Linked DNA regions of Arabidopsis thaliana. The protein of the gene in region 4 interacts with the protein of the main gene of each other region in a pairwise test. Each region holds a gene or a part of one and is shown on either strand. Other genes may lie near its edges.

Region 1 (5,273 bases), on a different chromosome or scaffold from region 4:
GGTTCAAACTTTTTGAAGACCTTTTGCTGATTTATAAAAACTGACTTTAGTTAATATTGGTTTTTAATTTCTGTAATTTTTGGACCCTAAAACCTTAAAGAAAATTGAAAAAAAAATTGAGGACCCTGTGCTTTTGCTCCTCTAGCACTCCCCTAGAGCCGGCACTGGTGCGACATTTTGCAACAAATGAAACAACGGAATTTTCCAACTCATTATGTTGCGGCTATCGCTTTACATATGTTTCGAAAATGTTTCTTTTTTGGTTTGGTTAAAAGTTAAAACATATACCATTATTTAGCTACCAAAAAATGTTATTATCAAACTATTTGGCTGCATCAATTTCAATGGTTATATTGTTTAACCACAACACTCATCTGGTAATGAGAAGGACAACTTCGAATAAAATTTTTAAGATGAATACAAGTCGGCCAAGTGATGCTTGTGGTATGAATATATTTATCACGAAAACAATGTGCTAAATTAAACATATCTATAGTGATGTTTTAGTCGATCCACCAAGACACTGTCCAATAAGTTACAATGTGTATGTATGATTTAAAAAGTCAGGATAAAAAGCTGCTAAATTCTGCACCTAGAAGAACAAAAGAGATGATATAGCCACCAAAATTATCACGACATGGACTGATCTCATTCTGAAAAGTCTTTTTTGAGTTTTCAACTTCCAATCTTATCTTCTTATATACATGCATACTCAGGTTAAATAGTAAAAACAAGAAGAAAAAAAAAGACAACAACAAAAACAACAATAATGGCCTTTCATTCTCAGCTTTTTACATGATTAAAGGTATAGCCAAAGTTGGAAGGAACAAAAGTTAAAAGAGCTTTTACAGAGAATAAAAATTTCATCTTCTTTTTTCAAAAAGAGTTTTGCAGACATGCATGAGATAATTATTACAGTATGTTCTAATTATCTCCTTAATTAATTAAAATGCTTATAAACACAGATTGCTTATGTAATCTCATCGTCTAGTGTCTTGAAGACATGGGAATATCAGATCAGATCAAATGTTTCTCTGGACCAAAAAAAAAGTAAAAAACCAATGATTAACTCTTATATATAACAAAAACCAGATGTACATTTATAAAGCTTTGAGACTCTCTGTCTGAAATAAAAGTTTCTAAAAAGACTCTTCAGTGCATCATCTTCTCTTGCTTACTGCATCCAACTGCAAATATACAGAGGAACCCTTTTAATCATATAGCTCTAATAAATCATCTAAACATATAAGAACAGAAGCTTACATGTCAAGGCAGATGAAATCTCAGAGCTTTTAATCACACGCAGTCTCTTCACAGATGAAACAAACATTCTGTGTTTAAAAACAAAGATTAAAGATCAGTTAGTATGCAAAAAAAGAGGTATAAACAAATCTCCAAGCAAAATTCTATTCTTTAGGTAAAGAATTATCAATTTGAATTACTACTACTATTGATTAAAAGCTGAGAACTTTTGTTGTTATATGATCAAGAATCTAATTCTGCAAAACACTGAATCAGATTCAGAGAACAAAAGGGGAAAAGATTCTTACTGCCATGGAACATCCCCAACAAGCATCTTGTCCCCTTCATTGTCTTCATAGGTTAAAGTAAATTCTCCTTTCCCATCTAATAATCCAATGATAGGTTTCTCTTCTCCTTGACCATCAGAGATATCTCTTTGAGCTATAAACCAACAACATACACAAATCATACTCAGTAAACACAAGTAACACTCCTAAAGAACTAAAAAACAGAATTTGAGATTAAGATTTAACCTGCGAGTAGACCTCTGAAGAGTTTGTCAACGACAAAAGAGAGCTGTTCGTAGCTGTTGTAAGCATTGAGATCAACTTTACGACCAATAGGAACACCATCCATGTTGATCTTGACAAACATTCCTTCCTTCTTGGTTTCAACTTGTTTTTCACCATCATCACTCTTGTTGATTTGACCTCCATGAGAGGATTCGTTACCTAGCTTTGAAGAGCTTGTGCTCGCTAGATTCTTTCTGAACGAACGAACCGGAGGCCAACCCACCACTGGACCAGGAGCAGTTCTTTGAACCAGATATCAAAAGAAACAAGAGACATATGTCAATACCAAACGACAAAAACAGAGCAAAACAGAGTAAATGTTGAAACTTTTAACATGTGAAGGTAAAAAAAAAAACACAGATTGCAGAAGATGGGTCCCTAATGTTCAAGAGAATATCCTCTGTCAAAGCAGTAAGAAAAAATAACAGTGAAGGAAAAAAAAGGAGATTATACCTTTTCTGTGAGATGTGAGGAACAGAAGTGGTTTTGTTGGAAGGAGAGAAGTGATTGCCATTAAAACAGTGGAAAGATTTGTCTTCTGTTTCCTTCTTGATGTTTCTTATCTCTGTGTTCTTCTTCTTGATTGCTGAATGATCTTCTTCATCACCACCGGGTGGTCCAAGCCTTAGCTCAAGTTTCTTCTCCTGATCTGTGTTGTTCTTGTCTTCTTGGTACCATTTCCTTCCTTGTGGAATCAAATCAAGAAGTTTTGGACCGATTTCTCTGTTTCTTGGACAACCTTCCATTGATCAACCCAAGATTCCTTCTATACGTTAACTATGTATGAAATTGAAATCTATAGCTTCACTAAACCCTAAGAACCCCTTTTAAAGAAACAATCCCACAAAACTGAGAGCGAGAGAGAGAAAGAGAGATGTGTAATGAAGGTATGGTAAGAGAGCAGTGGTGGGATTTTATACAAAATCAAAGCTTTTTTTTTCTCTCTCTCGTGCACGCTTTGGTGGGTTCTCTCTCACACAGCCTTACCTTTTTTTCTTTCTCAATTTGTTGTTCTCTCTCTCTAAAGATTCTGAAAGGGACGAGAAGAGAAAAAATAGGAATACAAAGAAAAGGAAATTTGGATTTGTATGAACAAAAAAAAACTCAGAAAAAGGTAAAGCAAAGTAGAGTGACTCCACTTTTACTCCTAAACCCCAAAAGTAGAAATGAAAACTACAATAAATTTACAGATTGCATACCAAGAAAAACAGTAATTGTTCTTGACATGAAAAGAGAATACTGTGAAAAAAAAGAAGTGGGTTTTAACGTTTTTGGTTTTAGGAGTTCTTTTGTGGAGTAAAACACACGCAACCTTGTCTTTTTTTCTGCCTCAAATATCGCTAATTAAGGGTTTGTCTAGTAAAAGAAGCAAAGCGTGCTGTTCTGTTTCTCACAAGTATACGAATTAGAAAAATAATTAAATGCGTAATTCCAATAAACAACTTGACCATTAAAAAAATACTAATAAGAGTAATTAAAATATGATAACAATAAAGGAACTAAGGGAAGATCCCATAATTTATGGTCTGTTTTTAGGACCACTCTCTTATCCACTGTCCATAAGACACATATCCCTATGCTTTTCTAAAAACATTTTTCTATAGGTCGTCATGGTAATTTGATACTTTAATAGTAATACTACCATTCTACAAAGATATACATAAAGCAAATAATAAATGAACATCATGGGAAGATCAATTGAGAGAATTCAAGAAATGGGTGAGGCATTGTATAAACATACGAATCTGCATGGCGTCTCAGTGAGATATATGTAATTATTTATTTATAAATTTGCCACACAATATGTCAATTTGTTAGGTAGCTAAACAATTATTTTGTCAAAAGTTAAAAACAATGTGTACGTGTGGATTACGATGGTATAATTTAATTTGCTTCCCCAACCAAGTAAATAGTCAACTGTTTGTTTGTTTTTCCTAATCAAAAATTTTCTTTTCTCAAATCTACAAAATCAACATATTTTGATAAAAATAACAAAAGAAAAGACTTTAGCAGAAACAATTGTAGTTGGTCCTTTGATCTTAAAAAATGTACATAATTTTGCAGCGTAAATCAAGAACATATTTCAAGTTTTTCAACCAAAGATTGAAGCTATTTTATTTGGTTTTTCAGGAGGGGGAAAAGAATGTACATGTCTCTCCCACGTACGTGTGACACCGATATTACGATAAAGCCGACGTAGAAAAATCTCGAGTGAGAGTTCCGGTCAAGTAAGGAAGGGTAATTTAGGAAATTGAAGAAGGAGTGTGTCTCTAGTCATATCTTGTCGCCGTTTTACCCAACTCCGTGACTTTCTTCCCTCACTGTCAGACAAAACCTTAACCATGGTTAACATAACCTGAACCTCTCCGGTTTAACTTAACCGCACTAACTAGATCCGCACAGACAAACTAGACAGTGGACACATGTTGAAGTTGCACAAGATTTTGAGATCGTACGATAAGGTTTAAATTTGGGCTTTAATCAAAGCCGTAGAAGTGAATAGAGATATAGCAAATGTGACGGCTGTGATTAAAAGAGTACAAAGCAAAGCATCCGATTAAAAAAGTAGCCGACTCAGGAGAAAAGGAACAAAAAAACAACTCGTGAATTGAATGTCATATCAAGGGAAATAAAGAAAAGCAAGTGAGAATAGTGGTGGTGTCAATGATGCTCTTCCTAGAATTTTCACCAAGAAATAAAATTATTTTTATCCACTCACTAATTTTTTTAGTGAACTAAAAAAGGAGTATATGTAAGAAATTGATATCATTTTAACAAAATAAAAAGAGGAATAAAAGAAAAAATAATCCAAATATGGATAAGGTCTGAACTGATCCTCTAGTATAACTGGCCCATGAAAATCACGCTGAAAATGAGCCCAATTGTTGATCATCAATGTTCATGAACTTCATGCCTTTATGGAAAAATGGGTTGACTATTGAGTTTTGACTACTAATACTAGTAGTTTTGTGAATTTATCACATATATAATGCAAGTTTCTTAGAGTTGAATGAAAAAAAATCATGCCTTGCATATTTGATTGTACTCCTTTCTTCAAAATTTTGTTCATGTTTTTGGGTGCTTGTATTTGCATATTTAGAGTAGACTATAGAAAACTAATTTTTTTTTTTTTTTTTCTCATCTCTTCTTATCAGACTTGTATTCCAGAAGGCTTCACCTCTTACGCAAGTGGAGTTTTTACATATCAAAGTAAAATAATTAAAAATTCATGGATGGTTTAAAATATACAATCTCACAAATTATGAGTTGTCTATTTATAATAACCTATAACAATGTATATGATTATTTGTTTTTTAACAGCTGAATTTCATTGATTTAACAAGTATGATTATTTGTTGTTTAAGCAAGAGCAAAACTATTATTCAACAAATTATAATTGTTTCTATGGGAAAATCTTATTTTTATACATAACAGGGATAAAATAAAACCGATAAATAA
Region 2 (3,889 bases), on a different chromosome or scaffold from region 4:
AATTTAATAATTAAACAAGATAAAATATAGGTTTGAGTTTATAAACGAGTTTAGATTTTTTTCAACTAGATGAGGTTAATTGTTGGTATGAGTTTATAAAAAGGTTTACATTTTACATTTTTAAACGAGGTTAAATATATCAATTTGGGTTTAGAAAAAATGGTTAGGATTATAGACGTTAAAACTAAACGAGGTTAAATGTTGGTATGAGTTTGTAAAGGAGAATTATGGTTTAGTTTGTAAATAAACGAGGTCAAATTAAATGTTGGGTTTGGTTTATAAACATATTTAGATTTTACAATTAAACGAGGTTAAATGTGAGTTTGGGATTAGAAAGAATGGTTAGAATTTATATTTTACAATTAAACAAGGTTAAAATGTCGGTTTTGAGCTTTTAAAGATGAATGAGAGTTTAGATTTTATAATTAAACGAGATTATAGATCGATTTAGGTTTACACAAAAAGTGGTTGAAATTTATATTTTATAATCAAATGAATTTTTAATTTATTTATTAGATGATAGAGTTTTATTGGCCGGAAATAAACTCTTAGGGGTGAATATAAATATTGTTCTCGGATTATCTAATCAATAACATAAATACTTAAATAGTCACAATTCTCAAATATATACAATCTCATAAAAAGGAAAACATTATTAAATAGTTTTAGCTGAAAAATCTAGTGCAATCAAAAGTAAAACTGATCATAACGATCCCACGAGTCTGGGTTGTCAAATAACAAATCAGAATTAAAGTCAGCACTTTCACTGCCAGATGACGATGAAGGAGGATAAGAGCCTGATGGTGATGATAGATATTCTTCTATAACATCTTGACAATCTTGGTCATTACTGGTTATCTCACGGTACTGATCTATAGCTTGCTCTTTGATGATATCTTCTTCATGCTTAACCGATAAGGAGAAACCGTTCGAGCGGCTTTCCTTCTCCTGATCCTGATCTTTTCCGAATCGGATCATTTGGGTACTTTTAAAGTCATCTAGGGGATCTTGTCCGGCAATAAAAATGGCATCTAGATTATGTTCGGTTTTGCAAGTGTGGTGGCCAAAGTAAGTGGTTCGGTAAACCGGAGGATTGTCTTTGATCTTTTGTTCATGCTTTCTTGCTTCGCAGTTATGATCTTTGTTGTAAGAACATCTATAGTAACTCCTGTTACCATCATCATACACCAATTAGTATGAGTGATCGGGATAGAAATAATTATGATGAAATATGATTAGCTATACTATTTCTTACCTTTGGTGATTAGATTTTTTTATACTCTTTTGACCATATTTCCTCCAAAGATACCCGTCGTAGTAAATCGGATCCGGTGAATCGTCCCTCCAATTCTCACTTGAATTTGTACTATCAATCTTTCTGCAAACATGAGTATTATCAAAATATTAGCATTAAAATCAACATATACTCCTAAGAAAAAAAATACTTATATTAAGAATTGTGGTTTCATTTGGAAAAACAAAAACAAACTCAAAAAAGAAAACAAACTCATAAGTGTATACCTTTTCTTGGAGGGGCTCCCCTGTGGAGGAGGAGAAGAATCCCTAGAAGATAAATCAGAAAACTGATCATCTTCGGTTTCTGGTTTAGCAGATAAGATTGAAATGGCATTGGAAAAACTTTCAACGATCGATTTAGCAAGATCATAACTTGAAAGCGGTCCACCATCAGCCATTGGATGGTTGAGCCGCCTCTTCAACCGCATGGCGCAGCTATGGCCATAACGGATAGCTTGCACCGCCTTTTCGTGTGGGGAGTTCATTTCCATAGAGTATAGTGAACTTGTGTGTGTGTGTATGTGTTTCTTGTTTGTTTTCTTTTTCTCAAGTCTCTTCTCTGTGCTATAAACTTTTGAACGGATAGGGAGATCAGAATTTATAGGACTAGTCGTACATACACGTTCCCAAATGACTTTGCCAATTTGGGTTTACCAAATATAATTTACATACACTAGGTTATATTTTAAGAAGCCAATGATAAATTATAATTTCGATATAGGACATGTGCTCTGCTAGACTTATATGCGTGAATCTAAATAAAGAGAGACAAAAAGATAGATTAGGTGTTGACATTAGCATATGATCTGTCATGATGTATAGGAAACAGAGTTTATTTTATATACCTTTCCCAGTACGCGGCTCACTTAATTATATACAATCTGTTTTTAATTGTTTCAGAATTTATCTGTTTCTCTTATTACACTAATCTACGCGGTTCGCTTAATAATTAAAGATTAAAAATTAAAAACTACTCCTTTCAGAACACTAAAAGGTTTCAAGATAGGAGGAATCTAATAGAAAACTGTGTTCTACAAAGTCAGATATATTAGAGAGAGATATGAGCTATGATAAACCCCAAATTAGCAATGATTTTAAAATTTTCTTTTGTAATCTTTCCATTTCAATATGTGTCGCAATTTTTTTTATTTTTTTTTTGAAAATATATAGCAGATGAAATTTAAGAATAAATTTGTTTGCTTAATTTTGTTGATTGTATATCGTTAAATATTTTTTATTTAATATTTTGATAGGTGGTTTTAATTATAATTTATACGGTAACTAATAATATAGAGTTTTGAAAATAATATATTTTACGTTCATATGACAAAAAAAAACAAATGTATGTAATAGATTGGATGTTCACAAAAAAAAAAAGTATAACATATTTTACACGTCCATCGCAATGTTTACCTCATCAAAGATGAAACGTGTACAAATAATGTTTTTTTGCTCAATATAATAAGCTTCGAACACATATGATATGATCAATTCATTTTTTTGTAATGAAAATACTCCACTAGTCGTGGATATCTTTAATGGTAAAATTATCTAATTTTTTGGTGAGTTTTGGTTCAGATTTTAAATAAAAATGTAAGTATTTAGACCAGACAAAAGATAATTATTAGGTAATAGAATAACATTAACAAGTAAGATCTAGACAATTTTTCAACGCTTAAAGAGAGAAATAATTGCGATGTAGCTGGCGAGTGGCGACTAATGCACCAATGAAAACGGCATTAGTTTCGTCGGACACTCGACGTCAGCCCCATGACGTAGTTTTTGTTGAAGGGGCTGATTCAGCAGATTGACGTCAGAACGAAGCAGCAATGTTGATTATATTATATACTAACAACAACTAGTCAACTATGCCGTGATGTGAGATTCATTCGTTGGCTACTCGGTCCATATTTTAATTTAATCTAAAATTTTAAGAATTTATAATTAATAAGCTTTGCAAAAGATAACTGGTAATCTTGAATCCTTTTTCTTTAGGTAAACTTGAATCTTATATGAAAGAAAAATTAGTAATTACATTTTAAGCGGATAAAATGATATAATATACGTACAAAAGCTTGTTTTGAATATATAGTATAATCTGAAAGCTAACCAATCCAAGTTATACAATCATATTTTAAAACTAATAGATGGTCAATCCAAAACAATTTATCCTTATCAGATTGTATACATCGATGGTATTTTCAGGCCATGAATTAACACCATTCATGAAACTATACAACAAATTACAAAGTTTGTAAAGAATGTTAAGTTCTATCTACCCATCAATTTAACAACCCTATCTTCTTCTGCGGGTGGTTAATGTAAATTGATAGATATCAACACATAAGAGATATATATATATATATATATATATATATATATATATATAAACTTTCGCACGTGACTTTGATCTGATCTGTGAAACGTTGCCCACATGTATTTTGTTCTTGTTATTAGCAAATTGTTAAATATTGTATAGGTATTAGTACTATATTGAGTAAGGGGTCACATATGTACAAGTCAAGCAAAGCTATGGGTCAAGTCACATTATTTTATGGTGCGAAAGGAAAGTGAATGTGAACATGACTTACAT
Region 3 (3,447 bases), on a different chromosome or scaffold from region 4:
AGCAGCGGACATTCATTTTGTTTGTATGACTATATGATTTTATTATTTGAAGCTGTATGCAAACGTGGAGATATGATTGCATCTTTGTCTATGCATGAACATGCCACGTTAATTTAGGAGTACATATCATGATATTGATCTCTCTTGCTATAACTTTTTGGCACAATACTATTGCATGCCTCTCTATATTACTTCAACAAAACGTTTAAATTTACCATGGTTAGAACTTAGAAGTAATCGAGCTGCAAACCATGGTGATCATATTTTTTCTCGTTCGCATGCTCGGTCTTAATATATTGAGAGTTATGGCCAAAATTTGAATACCATTTTAAGAAACTTCAGAAAATCAGGAGTTTGATTATTATCTTTGGTTCTTACTTACTTCAACGAAAACTAATGACAAAACTCTTTTAAGTCGAGGTATGCGAGTAATAACTCCTTGGACATATTTTTTTGATAAAAGTTTAATTGATTATAGACTTATAGTAGTCTTAATTATTATTATAAGTATAAAGAGGAGTAAACATTCATCATTAGACTACTAGACATTATAAAGTTATATATATCGAAATTCTAACAAGAAGGATCCCTAGAGACCAGACATGCATGTCCAAAGACAGATCGTATAATAGCTAATAGGAGTCTTATCGATCCAACATCCAAGGTAGGCTTTATTACAAAGTAACTATTAGAGTGCACTTCCCATGATGATTCTAGAATCTAATATTATTATCAATACAGCCAATGAGCATTATGTGATGTAACAATTTATGTCTACTTTATATTTTGAAGTTATCATAAATCAACGAATTCTATTTTGATTTTCAAAAAAGAGTAAAAGATTTGGGCTTCTAAGAGAGACAATCCACAAAGCTAAAGAGACATTAACAGGAAACGTATAGTTAAAGAAAAGAACACTGTCTGCTCCACAAAAACAATATACACAAAACTCTTCAAGTCTACCTTATTTTTATTGGTTCTGCAATTTTCAATGGTCTGTTACATTAATGTGTCATAAGAGACAATTGAGTTTTCTTATCAACAGAAGGGTCTAAAAAATTGATCCCCCAAGTTCATAGTCTATAGACTCAGTTTTTTTCTTTCAAATATTGATGTGTAAGAAAGTGAAAGTGATGTGATGCTCTGTTTCTGTTTACGGCTAGACAATAAAGCCTTTTTTGGCCCTTATCTCTCCTAATTAAAGAATCTGAGCAGTTGAGAAATTAAAATCAAAGCCTTAACAGATTAACTCCAACATCATTTAGACACACTTTCCTTGGATACCACCTTTTTACGGAAACTTCGAATCTTACATGTAAACAAATCTCAAAACCATAATTTCACATTTTTACTACTAACTAACTCCAAAGATCTAAACCCATGAATTAAGTATCTAATCGGGTAATTATTACAGTGGTTTTCAGAAATCAATGTGTGTTCATATTTAGAAGGTTGAAAGTTCATAGTTAAATGTGGGGAACCTTATGTTCCTATTATTTATTTATATTAAATTTCAAAGTCGATTAAATCAATTTTTAAATTCAAAATCTATGCAATAGAATCACCTACTAGTCCTTTTTTGTTTAACTAGACAGAGAGAAATAGAAATAGAGAGAGAGAGACATGAAGAGCACTCTCAATAGAGAAGAGAAGGAAGCATGAAGCTAGCTCTGCAGCTTCAAGGTCTCATTAATGGAGGTCTCTAACTCTTGTTCTTCATTTTCTTCATCCTCTGTCGACAGTACTAAACCTTCTCCTTCTGAATCTTCTGTTAATCTCTCCCTTAGTCTCACATTTCCTTCTACTTCTCCACAAAGGTCTTATTCACATCACTTCTCTGTTTTTTCCTATGTTCTGTTTTTGCTCTGTTTTCTTTTGTTCACATTTGTGTTTTAAATCTTTATTTTTTTGTAGAGAAGCAAGACAAGATTGGCCACCGATAAAGTCTAGATTAAGAGATACACTAAAGGGTCGTCGTCTTCTTCGTCGTGGTGATGACACTTCTCTCTTTGTTAAGGTTTATATGGAAGGTGTTCCCATTGGAAGAAAACTCGACCTTTGCGTATTCTCAGGCTACGAGAGTCTATTAGAAAATCTCTCTCACATGTTCGATACTTCAATCATCTGTAAGTAATTAATGAACAACACATAATTCCGTAAAAACAACATTCAACTAAATTCAAACAGTTTGAAGTATATCCATGCATTGTCTTGGCTATAACAGGCGGTAATCGAGATCGAAAACATCATGTTTTGACATATGAAGACAAGGATGGAGATTGGATGATGGTCGGAGATATTCCATGGGAGTATGAATCTTATATCTTGATCTTACATTGGTATAATTTCCTCGGTTATAGCTATTCTCTAATTTTTGAAATCGATGTTTTTGTTTAGTATGTTTCTTGAAACCGTGAGAAGACTAAAGATCACGAGACCGGAGAGGTATTAAAACTTGGATCGGTCAAGGCTGTGATTGCGCAGTTACGAGACGTGTAAGATTTAGGCATTGATGAAGAGACTTGAGGCGGGACGGAGCTATTGCTGCATATTGCAACAAAGGCCTTGAAGAAGTTGGAGAATTGATTGATGCATATATTTATTTATATGACACCTTTGAGTGTGTTTTTTCTTATAAATAAATCACAATATCCAAGACTTCTCTTTTTTGTTCTGAATAATAATAATGCAAAGATTTTTTATATGTTTGTAATCGTGTGTTTCTTCGAATGTGTTACATGACTAGGAAAAAAGTACACGAACGTTGTTATGGGGAGCACGAACATGGAATAGAGGAACGTTGTCAGGAAGAGAATGATTCTCTTTGATCTGCCGGCAGCCGTCTCGTTGGTTGTCACCAATGTACAATTTTAATGTTGAGCCCATTTAAAGCCCACTAAATGACTAACAAGCTCGTTTAAAGCCCAAATGCTGCAATTGATCGTAGGATCGGATCCAGATAATTCGTCCCAAAATGGGAAAATTCCAAATTAGAGGTGAAATGTGTAAAGACATTAGAATATAAGGGTGATTCTGAAATAAATTAAGCTAGCGCCGGAAAAAGATCGAGAAATTGAAATTTCCCACACTCTCTCGCTGACTCTCTTCGAAACTCAATTTGTGAAATTTGGGGGTTTAAGGATGAAGGGTTTAGTGTCTACTGGTTGGAAAGGTCCCGTCAAGTTCAGGATGTAAGTTTCGTCGCTTCCTCTACTTTGTTTGTTTTGAAATCGAAATCGAGTTCATGTGTTTTTGTTTTTTCTGATGAATCGATTTGTAATCGGAGCTATAGGCCCACTGCTGAAAACTTGGTACCTATTCGATTGGACATTCAATTCGAAGGTCAGCGTTACAAAGATGCTTTCACTTGGAACCCTTCAGGTTTCTCTCTTAAAAACCCTACCTTTTTTTTTGTTTTCCATCTTCTCGCATCTTATTACAGTAGCA
Region 4 (4,236 bases):
TCGAAGACAATCCCTTGGCGGAGCTGATATTATTCCGAAACTGACATCAAATGGATTTTTCTCCAAGAGGTCACCAAGTTCTCAGTTTAGATCTTTGAATGCTAGTACAAGCACAATATTGAAGCATGCGAAAGGAACATCCAGATCATTTGACGGAGGCAGTAGATCTTTAGATAGGAGTAAAGTACTAACAAACGAACCCAGATCGAAGTTTCCATTGAACCAATCTTCTGAAGGAACAAGCGGAGGCGGGTCACCTAATTCAACAAAACAAGGAGATTCAGAGAAAGCAGCAGGGACAAATAATGATAGTGTCCCAGGAGTATTACATGATTTGCTTCAAAAGGAGGTGATAACTTTAAGGAAAGCTGCTAATGATAAAGATCAAAGCCTTAGAGATAAAGACGAAGCTATTGAGGTTAGTCATTAGTTTTACACCTTTCCAAGAAACGTTTGCTTATATTTATTTATATTCTCTGATCAAAATACTTGGGCTTGTGTTTGCTTTTAGATGTTGGCCAAGAAGGTTGAAACACTAACAAAGGCGATGGAAGTGGAAGCAAAGAAGATGCGAAGAGAAGTAGCAGCAATGGAGAAAGAGGTTTCAGCTATGCGTGTGGATAACAAAGGATCAGATAGTAGAACGAGACGTCACTCTACTAACTCAAAAGGAGCTTCAACAACTGCACAGTTACTTTCTGGAAGGTACCTGATGTTTTCTTATTATAATGACCCAATGTAACGATTATAAGTTGGTTAGGTTAGTTTTCTTTAACACTTGAACGTTTGCTTTGCATTGTTGTTTTAGCAGAGGCTCAGGACGAATGGGGATGACGAGGAGCACGCAGTGATCAAAGAAGTCGATTCCACGAGCAAAATATGAATCTCAATTCAGTGGTTAATAGATTGAAGGAATGACAAAAAGCATACAAATATAGAAATCCAATATGGGAGGTTTGTGTGCTTCTTAACATAGTAAGATTTCAAAGTTAAAAACTGATTTTTAATTTCTTGGCTGATGTTTATTGTTTTCCTCATATATAGAAAAGAGTTAGGTTTGTGTTTTAACTACTAACTTGAGCTTAGTGTGTGATTTATTGTATCTCTCTCTATCTTACCTTTGTCCATTTTTCTCATTTTGGGGTATGTTATAGATTTAAGAAATTAGTTCAGAAACAGAGGTGAGAGTTATTAGTGAAAAAATTGAAATTGTCATTAGTTTCATTGATCCAGACACAACATTCACTAACATTAGTTGAGTCTGGTCTCCTTGAAGGCTTGAAAAGAGATGTCCCTTTGAATATAATGAATCTGTGAAGGATCAAAAGGACCTCTCACTCTATCAATCTTTGTAATGACTGCTCTCTCCGGCAACACACTCCTCGCCGGATCCACCGCCGTTTCTCCGCTCAAGCACGACGACACTCCTTTAAAGATTACAACTTCCACTTCTTCATCGTCGACAATGGCCGTCACTATAAGCGCTTCTTCTCTACACGACTGGCTATATATCTCCAACATCGCCATTTCCTCGTTGTATCCATACATTTCATCTTCATCTTCACCACCTCCCTCGTCTCTCACCCTTCTCCGAGCACCGCACCAGAACATCTTCAAAGCTCTTCTTCTCTCCGCCACTGGAGGGACGGTGAAAAGTTTTTTCCGGTAGTTATACGAGTTTGTGAGCGAGGGTATTTTAGTCATTTGATCTTTCTGTCCGAAAACGAATAATCCGGCTATGCCACCGGATAAATTCGCCGGCGTGATAAGCATTCTGATATTGTAGTGCATGAGGACCGTGACTTTGTCTATAGATAAGATTTTAAAGGACTCGTGTATGTTTACAAATAAGGGTAGTACCAATTGGATTAATTACAACAGAGTGCCACTACAGCTATTACCAGTCGCTTTCGTTGCCTCTCTCTTCAAACCAGTGGCTACTTACTCAACACTGTACGTCTTCAATCATTTCTTCTTCTTTCTTCTCCAACCAAAATCTCTTTCTCAGTTCTCTAGGGTTTTCAATACTCACACCAAAGCTTAATGCCGATCAACGATCAGTTTCCTAGTGGGTTAAGAATACTCGTTGTAGACGATGATACTTCATGCTTGTTCATTCTCGAGAAAATGCTTCTCCGTCTCATGTACCAAGGTCTAATTCTTTATCAAAGTTCCCACCTTTTAATAGATTTTCTCAAGAAAGTTTTAACATTTTTGTTTTATCTTCTCTTTGTAGTTACAATTTGCTCACAAGCTGATGTTGCGTTAACCATTCTAAGAGAAAGAAAAGACAGTTTTGATTTGGTGCTAAGTGATGTTCATATGCCTGGTATGAATGGTTACAATCTTCTTCAACAAGTTGGTCTTCTTGAAATGGATCTTCCTGTCATTAGTAAGACTCTGTTGTTATGTTTTGTCTCTAAAGATTGAATCTTTGCATCAATGTTTCTTACATTTGCTCTGTTTCTAGTGATGTCTGTTGATGGAAGAACAACTACAGTCATGACTGGAATCAACCATGGAGCTTGTGATTATCTAATCAAACCTATTCGTCCTGAAGAGCTTAAGAACATTTGGCAACATGTTGTTAGAAGGAAATGTGTGATGAAGAAAGAGCTTCGAAGTTCTCAAGCTTTAGAGGATAACAAGAACAGTGGTAGCCTCGAGACTGTTGTTGTTTCGGTTAGTGAATGCTCAGAGGAAAGTTTGATGAAATGTAGGAATAAGAAGAAGAAGAAGAAGAGAAGTGTTGATAGAGATGATAATGAAGATGATCTTCTTCTTGATCCTGGAAACTCGAAGAAGTCACGCGTTGTTTGGTCTATTGAATTGCATCAACAATTCGTTAATGCCGTAAACAAACTTGGAATTGACAGTATGATCCTAAACACTATCTTATTGCTTGTAGAAGAAATTCAAAGTAATTTGTGCTTATAAGAATCTCTCTTATTGTTTCAGAAGCTGTACCAAAGCGGATTCTCGAGTTGATGAATGTTCCTGGTTTAAGCAGAGAAAACGTGGCTAGTCATTTACAGGTTTCTTTGATTGATTGATTGAATCTTTCTTCTTATTAGGGTCTCTATAAGGGTTATGACTGAATCAATACCATTTGCAGAAGTTCCGATTGTATTTGAAGAGATTAAGCGGTGAAGCTTCGCAGAGTAATGACTCTGAGTCTACCAAAAGATATGAAAACATTCAAGCTCTGGTTTCCTCAGGACAATTACATCCACAGACATTAGCTGCATTGTTTGGTCAACCAATAGACAATCATCACTCTGCTAGTTTTGGAGTTTGGATTCCTAATGACAATCTTGGTAGATCTCAAAATGAACACTTCTCGGTTGATGTATCATCCGCTTCTAACCGTCCTGTTTCTGTGGCGGTTCATGGTCTATCTTCCTCAGCAAATTTCAGACAGAGAGGTGACGTTAACAACAACAGAATCAGACAAGGGTATGGATCAAATGTCAATGAAGAATCTTGGATCTTGGAAAGATCTTCAAGACAAAGATAGTGACCAATATGGATACGCTTAAGAAGAGAAGGCTCTGCAACTGTTTCTTTTAAATCTTCAGGAATGGATTAATGTCAGAAGAAAACTTGTGTGTCTGCAATGTTAGCTTAGGAAAGTAATTATGTAACCAATATTTTGAATTGTTATCTCTCACTTTATTATGGTTGCCAAAAGTTTTAGCCTGATAATAACCACAAGACATGCAACAAACAAGTCTCAAAGTACACAAAACATCAAACGCAACACTAGTTTTGTTACTGCTAATGTTGCACAACTTTAGCCAAACAAAAAGCAGCAGCTGAAGCAATCGCTCCTATAAAGGCGGTTTCAAACGCACTTCTGAGGGGCTTGCTTCCAGTGAAATGCCCTTTTGCATAGCCAAATATGAAGAGCGCAAACAGAGTTATAACCACAGACGCCACTACCGCATCCATGGCATGCGGTATGAGCATGTAGGGAAGTAACGGTATAAAACCGCCAAGAACATAAGCGATTGCAATCGTGAACGCGCTTTGTAACGCTCTTTTTGGATCAGGCTTCTCTAATCCCAGCTCAAACCTGTAACGAAACAATAAAGTCTCACTTATATAACAAGTTACATGCTTATAGTAGGAATATAAACATTTTGTGATAGGTAAAGAGTGTTAAACTTAACCAAATCAATAAGATAAGTTTTTATATTCACGTAATTTGTTGTTTTCTGTTTGTTACTATTCACG

What was found.
Region 1: the proteins of RR14 (region 4) and PAP1 interact in binary tests that used the Arabidopsis thaliana proteins (3 or more experiments, as listed by UniProt).
Region 2: the proteins of RR14 (region 4) and WRKY38 interact in binary tests that used the Arabidopsis thaliana proteins (3 or more experiments, as listed by UniProt).
Region 3: the proteins of RR14 (region 4) and IAA31 interact in binary tests that used the Arabidopsis thaliana proteins (3 or more experiments, as listed by UniProt).

Annotation. Positions count from the first base shown.
Region 1 is NC_003074.8:5,611,649-5,616,921, forward strand, and holds PAP1 (phytochrome-associated protein 1), read right to left. Parts: upstream 3,156-5,273; 5' UTR 2,561-3,155; coding exon 2,268-2,560; intron 2,057-2,267; coding exon 1,776-2,056; intron 1,684-1,775; coding exon 1,551-1,683; intron 1,332-1,550; coding exon 1,264-1,331; coding exon of another isoform or gene 1,238-1,263; exon of another isoform or gene 1,188-1,237; coding exon 1,153-1,187; 3' UTR 555-1,152; downstream 1-554. UniProt on the Arabidopsis thaliana protein: Aux/IAA proteins are short-lived transcriptional factors that function as repressors of early auxin response genes at low auxin concentrations.
Region 2 is NC_003076.8:7,494,921-7,498,809, forward strand, and holds WRKY38 (WRKY DNA-binding protein 38), read right to left. Parts: upstream 2,071-3,889; 5' UTR 1,788-2,070; coding exon 1,522-1,787; intron 1,379-1,521; coding exon 1,256-1,378; intron 1,169-1,255; coding exon 688-1,168; 3' UTR 535-687; downstream 1-534. UniProt on the Arabidopsis thaliana protein: Transcription factor. Interacts specifically with the W box (5'-(T)TGAC[CT]-3'), a frequently occurring elicitor-responsive cis-acting element.
Region 3 is NC_003074.8:6,019,286-6,022,732, reverse strand, and holds IAA31 (indole-3-acetic acid inducible 31), read left to right. Parts: upstream 1-1,585; 5' UTR 1,586-1,692; coding exon 1,693-1,817; intron 1,818-1,914; coding exon 1,915-2,126; intron 2,127-2,224; coding exon 2,225-2,309; intron 2,310-2,397; coding exon 2,398-2,452; 3' UTR 2,453-2,760; downstream 2,761-3,447. Other genes in the region: BSH (transcription regulatory protein SNF5, putative (BSH)), read left to right, coding at 3,142-3,191, 3,287-3,381. UniProt on the Arabidopsis thaliana protein: Aux/IAA proteins are short-lived transcriptional factors that function as repressors of early auxin response genes at low auxin concentrations.
Region 4 is NC_003071.7:330,998-335,233, forward strand, and holds RR14 (response regulator 14), read left to right. Parts: upstream 1-1,904; 5' UTR 1,905-2,043; coding exon 2,044-2,392; intron 2,393-2,470; coding exon 2,471-2,875; intron 2,876-2,958; coding exon 2,959-3,035; intron 3,036-3,115; coding exon 3,116-3,517; 3' UTR 3,518-3,699; downstream 3,700-4,236. Other genes in the region: MAP70-3 (microtubule-associated proteins 70-3), read left to right, coding at 1-418, 512-705, 809-851; AT2G01755 (uncharacterized protein), read right to left, coding at 1,252-1,791; VIT1 (vacuolar iron transporter 1), read right to left, coding at 3,778-4,075. UniProt on the Arabidopsis thaliana protein: Transcriptional activator that binds specifically to the DNA sequence 5'-[AG]GATT-3'. Functions as a response regulator involved in His-to-Asp phosphorelay signal transduction system.